Linked DNA regions of Oryctolagus cuniculus. The protein of the gene in region 1 interacts with the protein of each later gene in a biochemical or structural test. Links are inferred from orthologs where the notes say so. Each region holds a gene or a part of one and is shown on either strand. Other genes may lie near its edges. The genes, in order: LOX, EFEMP2 and ELN.

Region 1 (3,812 bases):
TCTCGGTCGGCTTGGTAGGAAATCGGACGTGCCCTGGTTTTTCACTCGTTGGGGGAACCTGAGCAGCACCCTGTGGTCATAGTCTCGGACGTCTGCCCTGTACGCTGAACTGCGATTTTGAAAGCAGATATGGGGTCAGGGTCACAGCCTATGAGCTACAGACACAGAACCACAAACAAAGCCCACTGCCCGCTGTGACAGCCTCCCTGCCCCCAACAAACCTCGCCCATGGGCTCTGAGAGGCCGACTTGAGAATGAAACACAAGATAGAAATCCAGGCAGAACTTTAAAAAAGTGAAAACATAACAAAAGGAGCACTAAAAGCCTCTACGTGCGACGTGAACTGTATACGTAAAATCGGTTACCAACATGAAGAAGGGACACGGAAGCGCAAAGTCTGCCAAACGAAAACCCAAACCCAGACCTAACTAACGATTCAAACTGCAACCACACATTTCTTTTAAATTGTTAACTGAGATCTAAAACGGTGAAATAACTAAAAAAAGAAATGTTCAAGTTCGGATCACTAAATGTGGTAACTTTTAACCAGGGGACTGCACTGAAGTGACACCCTAAGGAGCTCGGTGATGTGAGTGATGCAAGACCCAGCAATGGACATGAACTTGAACTTCTTCCCTGGCTTTAGCCCCAGACCACAAAGGGCCAACGTGGAGGAAATGCACACAGGCCACGGTGTTCCCACTGCTGTCTTTCGTGTGCATCTGCTCAGCTCTCTCCACGGCTTTCTTTTCCACTGCACTTTCGCACGGCACCCACAGAAACGTGCATTGCTCCCTCTGCTGGCTTTTCAGCAACACAGGCCGAGAAGCCCCATCCAGAAAAGGCTGTTTTATTTTAGAACTGATGGGAAAACAAAGCTCTTGCTTCACGGTCTCCTTTTGGCTGCAGGAACAGCAAAACAACCAAGTTAACCGTGGCCTCAGACAAAAGAGGGAAAGTCAGCCCTTACCAATGAGGAGATGCCACAGTGGCAGATTTCGCCCCCACTCTCTCAAGCGCGCATTCCCAAGCTCTTGGTTTACCGTCCTGTTTCCTGCATTAGCACAGAGTCGTTTTACACTAGCTTATCGGAAACAGTCGGCTCCCAGGTTTAAGGATCTCGGAGAGAAAACAAAAGTAACATGGGGCTTCCAGTCTCCCAGATAAGCGTTCTCGCTGCGGTTGGAAAGGCAGGACGCAAAGAAATCAAAGCTTTAACTCTCCGTGCAGGAGGCCAGCATCTGCCCAAGAGGTCGCGTCCTGTCTGCAGGAACAGACCCCGTGGGGACCCGGCAGCAGCGGGGAACCCCGGCGTGGGGGGCAGGGCCGCCGAGACCCCAGCCCAGCCCGTACCTGGCCAGGCAGTTCTCCTCGGCGGCGCATCTCAGGTTGTACATGGACATCTTCTGCACGTACGTGGACGCCTGGATGTAGTAGGGGTCGGGCACCAGGTCCGGGAGACCTAGACGCCAGCAGGCGACAGAAACGCCGCGGTGAGGCAGGCCGGCGGACCCCCGGGGCGGCTCGGGTGCTCGCAGGTGCCTTACTCCACGCCGTGCGCCCGCGGGGGCTGCAGGGCGCGGCCGAGGGGGCGCGCGCGCGGGGCTGGGAAGCGAGGCGGAAAGGATGCCACAGGGGCCAGGCGCGAGGCGGAGGACCGCATCCGCGCGGCCCCGGGCCCGCCGCACCCAGCAGCCACGTCGAGGGCACGGCGCGGGGCCGGGGCGCGCGGGCGCTTACCGTACTGGAAGTAGCCGGTGCCGTAGCCGGGCCGGTACCTGCTCCCTGGCCGGGGCCTCTCGTACGTGTCGTAGTAGTTGTAATAGGGGTTGTCGTCCGAGTACTTGTAGGGGTTGTACGGGTCGTCGCCCACCATGCGGTCCACGTGGCTGGGCGGCCGCAGGTTACTGAGCGCCGGGGGCTCGCCCTGCGCCGTCCGGTTGCCAGCGCGCGAGGCGCCGGCGTCGCGGGCCCCAGGCGACGCGTAGCCGGCTTGGAACCAGTGGCGGCCGGCGGGCCGGGGGCGGCTGGCGGCGGCCGTGCGGTTGTCTCGCAGCAGCAGCACCGGCGTGCGCTGCTGCGGGCCGGCGGCGCGCTGGGCCCCCGGGGCGGCGGCGCCCGCGTCGCGACGGCGCTGAGGCTGGTACTGGGCGCCCAGGCTCAGCAGGCTGAACACCTGCCCGTTGTTCTCCCATTGGATCCTCTGGCGCCAGGCGCCCGGGGCGGCCGGCGGCTCGCGCGGGGGCTGCTGCTGGCCCGCAGCCTGCGGGGCGCCGCACACGAGCGCGCAGAGCTGCAGCGGCCCGAGCAGGAGCACCGTCCAGGAGCAGAGCATCGCTCCCTGCACGGGGTCGTCCCCAGGACGCGGCTCGGAGAAAACGGAAAATAAAACTAAAAAAAAAAAGAAAAAAAAAATGGGGGCTCAGATCACGTGCGGGAGGGGCGCTCTTCCACAGGGAGGGGGGCGCAGCGCGGGCCCCTCGGTCCCCGACCGAGCCGCGCCGAAGGGACGCCGCGGCCCCTGGAGCAGTCGAGGCGGCCGCCCGGACGTGGCGCGCGTGGCTCTCGCCTCCACCGGTCCCTCTGGAAGGCGGCGGGGAGCGCGCAGCGTCTGCAGCGGAGGAAGGAGGGGAGATTTTAAACTTTCTGGCACGTTTGCAAAGTTACACAAGCCGTCCTGGCGCGGCCGGCCCTCGGCGATTTGTTCACGTAATGCGATTGGAAACGTGCGCGGCGGACAGCTCCCCGCCCGCCCCGCGCGCCCGCGCGCCCGCCCCCAGACACGTTGCAGGGCGCGCGCGCTCGGGGAGAGCACGGAGCGCCGCGCGCGGCCCGGGACGCCCGGCTCTATCTGGGGCGAACATGCAGGAATTTCTGAAAGGCTCAGACAGGCGACGGCAGCCAGGCGGTGGGCCGCCGCCAAAGTATGCACGGAGAAAAATGCTATGAGGTCACCGGGCCTGGCGAGGCGGGGAGAGCGCGGGCGGCCGCCGGGAACTCGCGCGCGTCCGGAGCGGGGTCCGGCCCGGCCGCCCCGCGCGCACTCGCCTGCCCTGGTGGGCGGCGCCCTCTTCCAATCCACCCCTGGATATCGAATTCTGTTTTTCGGAGTGTGGGTAACATGAGAAACGGGTGACAAATCTGTTTCCTACGGCGACTATTTTAATAACCCAAAGCGAGATTTTTTTTTTTAACAGGGAACAAAGCCTGGCAGCGCCAAGACTATGCAGAACCCCAACTCCCCGCCAAAAAATGAGGGCCGGGGGTGCGCTTGGAGCTGGCGTGAGCGCCGGCTTTTCTCCGTGGGGCCTGCCGGGAAGGCTCCGGAAGGGGAGAGCCGCAGGCTGCACCCCCCCCCCCCCCCCGAGCCCTGATAAGGCTTGACGTGGGATTCTGGACACTTGAGTCGCCACTGGTGCTTCCTGGGAGTGGGTGTAGGCGTCCCCCGGAGAGGGACTGGTCCTCCAGGCCCCGTGGAGGGGTTGCGTGGAGTTCTGATGGCAGCCCAGAGCAGCCAGCAGGAGTGGCAGGGGGCCTCGCTTACCCTGAGAAGTGAGGCTTGGCGCTCCAGCCGGCGTTCACACCCCCCAGGGGCCGGCCCGCGCAGTTTCAAAGAAACTGGTACAGAAGGGCACAGTGTAAAACTACCGCCCCAAACCGGCCTTGGAGAGAACCAGCCTGCTCAGCGCTCTCTTCACGGAGCTGCTGTGGACACAGGTGCACGCATATTCACCTGTCTCTGTTATGCTGGGTCTTGCATACTTGGCGACCACGTTTTGGGGCGTCCGTGGATTGGACTGCCGACTCAGCCA
Region 2 (3,812 bases), on another chromosome or scaffold:
CAGGCTGGGAGTGCCCTGTGGCCAGCCCGGGGTGCAGCACCCTGCAGGGGCGCGCGTCCGTCCACAGTGGACGGGACGTGGGGGCACCCTGGCCGCCGCTGGGGGAGCCCGCGCAGGGCTGAGCTCACCGCTGCAGGAGAAGCCGTCGCGGTGCAGCTCGTAGCCCTGGTGGCAGCGACACAGGAAGGTCCCGTAGGAGTTGAAGCAGCGCTGCTCACACGGGGCGCCCATGTCGCACTCGTTCACATCTGGGGGTGCCGGGACAAAAGCAGAGGGGCAGTCTGGGCTGGCCGCCAAGGGCGCTCCCCCAGCTCATACCTCCCAGCCCCGGGGGCCCCAGGAGCCCGGCCTGGCCCAGCCTCACCCACACAGGAGCGGTTGTTGGGCCCCAGCTGGAAGCCCGGTTCGCACTGGCAGCGGAAAGAGCCGGGCAGGTTCACACAGCGGTGCTGGCAGTAGCGGTAGCGGCACTCGTCAACGTCTGCGACGGCGGCGGGGAGGGAGGCCGCGGAAGGCGCCAGTCAGTGGGGCCCCCACTCGAGGCCTCACTGCCCACAGACCCGGATGTCTCTGGGCAGCTGGACGGGGCCAGCCAGCCAGAGGACGCACGCACGCACAGGCACACACACACACACACATGCGCATGCGCACACACACGGTGTCCATGCAGTCCTCTGTGTCTGATGGCAGGAAGGCAGAGGGGGCCGGGGGCTGGGGTGACGCCCGGGGGTGGGCTGGAGTTGGGGGCTCAGGAACAGACAGGCTGCTGGCCGCACTCACCCACACACTCCGGCCCGATCTTGCGGTAGCCATCCGGGCAGGTGCACTCGTACGAGCCAGGCAGGTTGTGGCAGTCCTGGCTGGGCCGACAGTCGTGCAAGGCCTGCGCACACTCGTCCACATCTGCAGCAGACACCCCTGAGCCTCCGCCTGGGGTCGCTCACGCCATCCGGCGAGGCAGGCACCCAGCGTGGGAGGACGCAGTCCAGAAGCCACCACGAGGGCACAGGAGACCCCTCCCACCCGCCCACCAGCCTGGGAGGCAGCAGGAGACAAGGCTCTGTCCACACCCTCAGCCCCCAGCGACCCTGATCCCAGGACACCCCCCGCCAGGGCCCGCGGCTTCCAGGGGTGCAGTCCAGATCAAGGCTCCTGCAGGGTCTCTGCAGCACGTGAGGGGAGGGTCCCCTGGGACTGGCCCCGGACACAGCGAGGGCCTGGATGAGGGGCCGGGCAGCCCCTGGTGGCCCCCAGGAGCCATCAGTAAGGGCTTGGAGCAACGCAAGAACGCGAGCCCAAGTTGCGAGAAGCGTGGCGACAGCATGGGACGCCCGGGCCCAGAGGGACTCACCCACGCAGCTCTCCTGTTCGTCGGGCTCATAGCCTGGCGGGCAGGAGTTGGGGTGCTGAGCGGGGGGCACAGGCGGCGGGGGGCCCTCGCCGTGCAGGTCGTTGATGACGGAAGCGGAGCGCGGCAGACACAGGTAGCCCCCGTAGTGATTGATGCACTTCATCTCGCCCTTGCAGGCCTCGGGGATGGTCAGGCACTCATTCACATCTGCGGGAGGCGGCCTGCTCGGCACAGCCGGTCCCGGGAGGGGGGCCGGCCCCGGGCGGGGCGGGGGGGGCGAGGCAGGAGCCCGCTTGGCCCTCCCTGAGCTCCACAAGCTGAGGCAGCCTGGTGTACCCAGGACCCCTCCCCTCCACACGGCCCCGCCACAGGCTGGAAGTGGGGAAGGGGTTGCCACTGCTGCCCCCACGCTGCCTCCAAGGGGGTCCTGGCCCTGGCTCAGCCGGGCAGTGATCTGCAGCCCCCCCCCCCCCCGTGGACACCGCCCTCCCAGGTTGCGATGGGGCAAAGCCTTCCATGGGACCAGCTGCTCCGGGGCTCCCCCAGTGGCTCTCCCATCTACCCCGGGGGGGGGGGACAGGGTTACCGGGGTTCTTGGAGAGGGAGGGGCCGCCCTGCCCTGCTGGGCTGGGTAGAGCACAGGCCCCCTGGGCTCTGGTCCCTGCTCCTGGGGGGCTGGTCCCCCTGTCACACTCACCCCGGCAGTGCTGGCTGTCTGGGTCCCACTCATAGCCATCGGTGCATTCCTGGAAGGAAACCGGAGGCTGCAGTGGTCACCCAGGGTCCCCTCCAACTGGCCAGGCCAATAGCAGGGCCTGAGCCTGGGCCACCCTCCCAGTCTGTTCCAAACAACGGCCCCCAGCTGCTCTACCGGCCGGGCTGGGGGGGCGAATCTCCCCCAAGAACAGCCTCCGGGGACCCTGGTCTCCCAGTGGTAGGCCACCCGCCCCCGCTGTCCCCACCGTGTAGCTGTCCGGTTCCTCGGAGTCCTGCGGTGACGCTGCCCCCAAGAGCAGCAGCAGCAGCGCCCAGAGCAGCAGAGACCCAGGGAGGCAGGAGGCGAAGGGGAGCATCCTGCGGCCGGGAGGGGGCGGGCGGGTCAGGGGCCTCTGCCACGGCCGCCCCATCCCCCCGCACCGGGCCCCGGCCCCGCCAGCTCCGGCTCAGGTCCGAGCCTGGGGCCCTGCAGCCCCGCAGGACCCGGGGCCCACTCGTTTCGTAGGCCCGGGTTCCGGGCCCACTCCGCCCCCGCCCGGTTCCCTGGCGGTGCGGGCCTCTCGGCCCGGCGGCCGCCGACTCTGCCGAGACTCCGGCCCGCGCCCCCCTCCCACGGGCCGCCACTCACTCGGCCGCGACGCCCCCGCGGCTCCGGCGGCTCCAACAGTGCCTGCGGGCGGACGGACGGGCGGACGGCGCAGCTCCCTGGACGCGCGGCCCCAGGAAGCGCCCCCCGCCCGCCCGCCCGCCGCGGTGCGGCCCACCCCGGCGCCTCCGCCCGCCCTTCGGCGGATTCCTGAGCCCGCGCCAGGGGGAGGGACCCCGACCCCCCGCTTCTCCGCCCCCGGCCGGCGGCCGCAGGCCCCCGCCCGGTCCCCCGCGGCGCCTCCCGGAGCCGCCTCCCGGCGCCGGGCCAGGGTCCCCCAGCGCTCGATCGTGGTGCCATGGACCTGGATGCCAAGCCCCCAGACTCACTCGGGGGGGGGGGCAGGCCCTCATCAGAAACGTCATCCCGCGCACCTGGCTGCTACCTACGCGCGCAGAATTCCTTTCTGCGCACCCACTGCTCAGTCCCGCACCCCCAGACCCTCATTCTGAGCCTCCCCGAAGGTAGGATCCGAGGCCCCACCCAGCCCTGGGGCCTCCATCCCCTCACTCGACCCCCCCAGAATTGTATTCTGTGCCCCCAGACCGTCACTCCAGACGTCCCCAAAACTTCACCCCGGGCCCCCGACCCTCGCCCCGGCACGAGACGCTCCCGGGTCCCGGGAGCAGAGCTGCCCATCTCTCCCTTCTACCCCCCCCCCCGCCCCGCCATCTCCCGCCAGGTGGTCCCTGCGCTCCTGCACGGCCTCCCCCGCCCCCGCGCTCAGCCCTCCAAGCCGAGGTCGGGGGCGGGGGCGCAGGTCCCTTTTGGCCCCAAATGAATGGCAGGCCCCCGCGAAGCAGGGACAGGGTGCACTCGGGGGCCAGGGACGCCAGGCTCCGGTGCCAACGCCTTCGCGACCCTCCTCTCGCCCGCGCCCCCCACTCGGCTTCCGACCCCTCCCCCAGCGGAGGGCGTGGCCGGGGCGGAGCCCGGGAGGGTTCGACTCCCAGGAAGGGGCGGGGCTTCGCGCTGCCCACGTCTCAGGGCTGGGCCAGACGGGAAAGGGCCGCGTGTGCAGGGCTCCCGGCACCCCGCAGGCTGCGAGAGGGAACAGTCGGGTCTTCCCGTCCCTTCCCCATCCCTGCTTGACCCCCC
Region 3 (3,812 bases), on another chromosome or scaffold:
GACATTGCTGGAACCTTCCGCCGGCCCCTGGAGGTGCTCAGGTTTGCAGCCAGAGAGATGAAGCGCCTGGCTCGGGACCTGCGGCTCAGCCCAGTCACAGGCAGGTCCCTCTCTCTGCCTGGGGGCCCTGGGCTCCCACTTCAAAGACCTGGGAGAAGCATGTTTGGGATGGCGCTGCGGGCCAGCGGGCCATAGCAGCAGCGGCTCTGCCCAGCCAGTGTCCAGGGGGCCAGTTTGGCAAGATAAGCTGTGTGTTGCTTGCATGGAGAACAGCCTGCCAAAGACTTTTCAAAAGCAGTGCGTCCAGCGACGTCGGGTGGCATATTTGCTTTCCTGCCAGATGCCCGGGGTGTGGGGGAGGGAGGGGGAGGGTGTTCAAACCCTAAAGCAGCGCTTGTCGGCACTGGCGGGTCATCCATCACCGGGGCAGCCATGCTGGATCCCCTCCCCCCAGCGCAAATCAAACAGGAATTCTGCGGGGTGAGGGTTTGGGGTGGGAACATGGCCAGGGTCAGAATTACTCGGATTTCCCCAGGTATGGACTCCCCCGACCCCAGGACAGCTAGGGCGGGGGGTGGTGGTGGTGGTGGTGGTGGCTGGGAGTGTGTAATTAGGGTCCCTCCAACATCCTTGACCTCATGGGACATTGGTAGTCCCAGTGCACAGACCCCCCCTCGTCCAATCATTGGCCCCATATTTAAAGCCCAGTTTATCCAGCCCCACGGGGTGGAGCTGAGGTTTATCTTCACGGAGAATGACGCAGGTTTGAGGCGGCCCTTCCCTGCGTGTCGTACCCGGCTCCCCAGTGCCCATGTCCGTTTAGCCGCGGCAGATGGGGCTGGTGGATGCTCCCCCCAGCCTGCCTCCGTCTCCTCACTTGGAAAACGCAGATGCTAATTCCCAAGTCTCGGGTCCCTGTGACCCTTTGCTGCTGGCTCACAGCGGCAGCAGTGTCTGGGGACAGGGGCAAGCAGGTGTTTGGGGGTTGTCCTGGACATGGGGGAGGGCACTGGCCTGCAACCCTCAGCCCCCCCCCCCATCCAGGTCCAGGAGTGGACCCCGCACAAGGAAGCTCCGGCTCCCAGCAGCCGAGCCGGCTGGACAATGTCACAGAAGCAGCTGCTGCTCCCGGCCCGCCGTCTGGCTCCGGGCCCGGGGACGGGACGCACCCTGCTCCGCCCTGCAGCCCCAGAGCCCCCCGACTCCAGGTCTGCTGAACGGGCCTCCACCCAGGCCGCCCTCTGCTCTCTCTCCCCACGGCCAGATTCACCTGGTCCCTGCCGGTAGCCCCCTGGAGGCACTGGGTCAGGACCCATCGAGATGGCCCAGCCGTGCCCTGGGGCCCACAGCAGCCCCTGCCACTGTCTGCACTCCATCTGCCAGGAGGCGGACCCCTTTCCCGGCTGCCCGCCGCCCCTGGGAGCGCCCATCTCACAGGCGCACACTCACAGGTGCAGCGACAGCCCTGGAACCAGCCCTTCCACGTGTGTGTGACTCCCCCCCTGCCCCCACCATGGCTACCTGCTCAGGAGTGACAGGCAGAGCTTCCCAGGAGCCCCTACCCCGCCTCACTGCTCCGTGACACGTGTGAGCACATGTACACCTGTGCGACAGCACGCGGCACACTCATCCGCACAGTCACTTGCATGCATGCATGCAGGGGTCACAGCATCCCATCACCAACGTCATCCTGCCCGACTTCCCGGGGGACAAGGGACCTGCTGAGGTCACACAGCTCCCAGCGGGCGGCTGAGTGGTCTCAAAGCCACGTCCCTTGTCCCCAGGGTCCACAGGTGTGCAAACGGCTGGTGCCTGCAGAGCGAGGGGGGTCCCGCCAAGCTCTTCCCAGCGGGTCCTGGTCCCTCCCTCCATGGGGAGGGGGTTTTGGCCAGAGCGGAGTGGCACAGCCTGGACGCTCGGTTGGGACCAGCCTGGGTTGTGGGGGTCTCTGCTTGACAGGTTCTTCTGCAGTACAAGGGGCAACGCTGGGGACCCGGTGGCCGAGGGGCTCCTGGAAGCCCCAGGGGCCAAGAGACTGGCTCCGTCAGTCCAGCCACCTGGCTAAGGGAGCCGCGGGCTCGCGAGGACAGACACCGGGGGCAGGGACAGGCAGGGGGCGGCGCGCAGCGGAGCGGCGGTGCCGAGGGGGCTGGGGACGCGGGGGGCCCTTACCTCCAGGCTGCGAGGGGTGCAGAAGCGACAGCAGGAGCAGCAGGAGTCCGGGCCGTGGGGCCGCCGCTGCCGTCACACCCGCCATCTCTGGGAGAAATGCCCCAGCCTGCTCTCCACGCCTCGTTTTATCCCCAAAGCGTAACTGCCGCCTGGTCGGCTGCGAGGGCGGGCGGGGGGGGGGGGGGCGGGAGGAGGGGGAGGCTGGGGGAGGGGGCCAGGGGAGGGGGCAGTTACGAAAGGGCCGGGCTCGAGCCTCCCGGGCTGGGCCTGCCTGGGCTGGGCTGAGGGCTTTTTCCCTACACACACATACACACACACACACACGCACACGCACACACGCACACTCTTTCCCCATCTCCTTCCCCTGTGCCTGTTCTAGAGGCTGGCTCTGTTCCCGCCAGAAAGTGTGAGGGGGCCTCTGCCAGGACAACCCTCGGGGAGAGAGGAAGCAGGAGGGAGGGCCAGGCAGCCCGGCCAAAAAATCCCGGCCCCAGCCAAGGCCTGAGTGGCCAGGCCCCCGCCCCTCCGGCTGGGCCCCGGGCCCAGCGTGGGGACACAGGCCAGCTGTCCCGCGCCTCGCCCCCACCCCAGGCCTCCAGACTCCCCAGCACCCCCAGGCCTGGCCAGAGACGGGCCCTGCCCAGAGCTGGGGTGGGGTGGGGGGTGGGGGTGGAGGAGGCGGCACCGGACAAGGCCTAGGGGTCCGGTGCCAAGGTCTGCGGAGGTCAAAGGGGCTGTGGGCAGAATGTTCTGGAAGGTGAGATGGGGGCAGCTGGAGGGTGGTCCGGGGGACCCTGGCCCACTCCGGGGCTCCATTCTGCATGAAATGAAGTCCTGCCTGAGTTCCTGCCTGAAGTCCAGGGGAGGGTACGGGATGTGCTGGTGGGGGAAGGTTGGGGCTATTGTCCACCCAGGCCAGGGGCTGCAGGCAGGGGAGAAACCTGGGAGTGCAGGCCGTGTTGACGCTGTCCCCTGGGGCACCTGGGGACCCTGACACGCTCAGCTGCACAGTCCAAGTCGGCCCTGTTGCCAGCGCCACACAGGCTGCAGCCCAAGACACCCGTGAGTCCAGGGACGTGGGAGCCCTGTGCAGACAGACAGGCAGCCCCGCCTCGCCCCTTGGCCACCACCTGTCTCCAGCAAGGCTGAGCCCCAGACCAGGCCTGGGAGCCCCTACATGTCTTGTTCTCCCTGGGAATGCCTGGGGGACTGCCATTCCCCCAGTGGCCAGGAGGGGGCGACCTGCACTGAGACAGCCCAGATGGCGATCCAGCTGAACTCTCAGCCTGGGTGCCACACTAGGAGCAGCTGGGACAAGATGGGGACCCTAGGGGCTTGGGGAGATGTGGGGGGTGTGGAGCTGGGGAGTCCCGTTTCTCCTCACCTCTGCAAGTGGGGCAGAAATAGGGGAGCCGGGAGAGAAGCTGGGCCAGTGAGAGGTCAGTTAAGACCATGGAAGCCGTGGGCTCAGAGGGGTGAGTGCGATGTCCCCCCCAACACACACACACCAGGAGCTCTGGGGCTGGCCGGGGGTGGAGCGGTCGATGGCAGGCCATTGACCCAGAGCTCGATTCTGTCTCTAGAATCTTCTAGAAGGGCCACTTGTCCATTTGCGGACTCTCAAAGGGTGTTACCTTCCC

The links.
Region 2: the proteins of LOX (region 1) and EFEMP2 form a complex in vitro, tested with the Homo sapiens proteins (2 studies listed by IntAct, with this or other methods). The link is inferred for Oryctolagus cuniculus from reciprocal best matches to the Homo sapiens genes LOX and EFEMP2.
Region 3: the proteins of LOX (region 1) and ELN form a complex in vitro, tested with the Homo sapiens proteins (2 studies listed by BioGRID and IntAct). The link is inferred for Oryctolagus cuniculus from reciprocal best matches to the Homo sapiens genes LOX and ELN.

What each region holds. Positions count from the first base shown.
Region 1 is NC_091437.1:11,784,059-11,787,870, forward strand, and holds the start of LOX (protein-lysine 6-oxidase), read right to left. Parts: upstream 2,341-3,812; 5' UTR 2,336-2,340; coding exon 1,741-2,335; intron 1,463-1,740; coding exon 1,354-1,462; intron 110-1,353; coding exon 1-109. UniProt on the Homo sapiens protein: Responsible for the post-translational oxidative deamination of peptidyl lysine residues in precursors to fibrous collagen and elastin. Regulator of Ras expression. May play a role in tumor suppression. Plays a role in the aortic wall architecture.
Region 2 is NC_091432.1:5,896,948-5,900,759, reverse strand, and holds the start of EFEMP2 (EGF-containing fibulin-like extracellular matrix protein 2), read right to left. Parts: upstream 2,869-3,812; 5' UTR 2,697-2,868; intron 2,426-2,696; 5' UTR 2,425-2,425; coding exon 2,314-2,424; intron 2,098-2,313; coding exon 2,049-2,097; intron 1,559-2,048; coding exon 1,352-1,558; intron 904-1,351; coding exon 781-903; intron 482-780; coding exon 365-481; intron 249-364; coding exon 129-248; intron 1-128. UniProt on the Homo sapiens protein: Plays a crucial role in elastic fiber formation in tissue, and in the formation of ultrastructural connections between elastic laminae and smooth muscle cells in the aorta, therefore participates in terminal differentiation and maturation of smooth muscle cell (SMC) and in the mechanical properties and wall integrity maintenance of the aorta.
Region 3 is NC_091450.1:50,184,476-50,188,287, forward strand, and holds the start of ELN (elastin), read right to left. Parts: upstream 2,332-3,812; 5' UTR 2,258-2,331; coding exon 2,173-2,257; intron 1-2,172. UniProt on the Homo sapiens protein: Major structural protein of tissues such as aorta and nuchal ligament, which must expand rapidly and recover completely.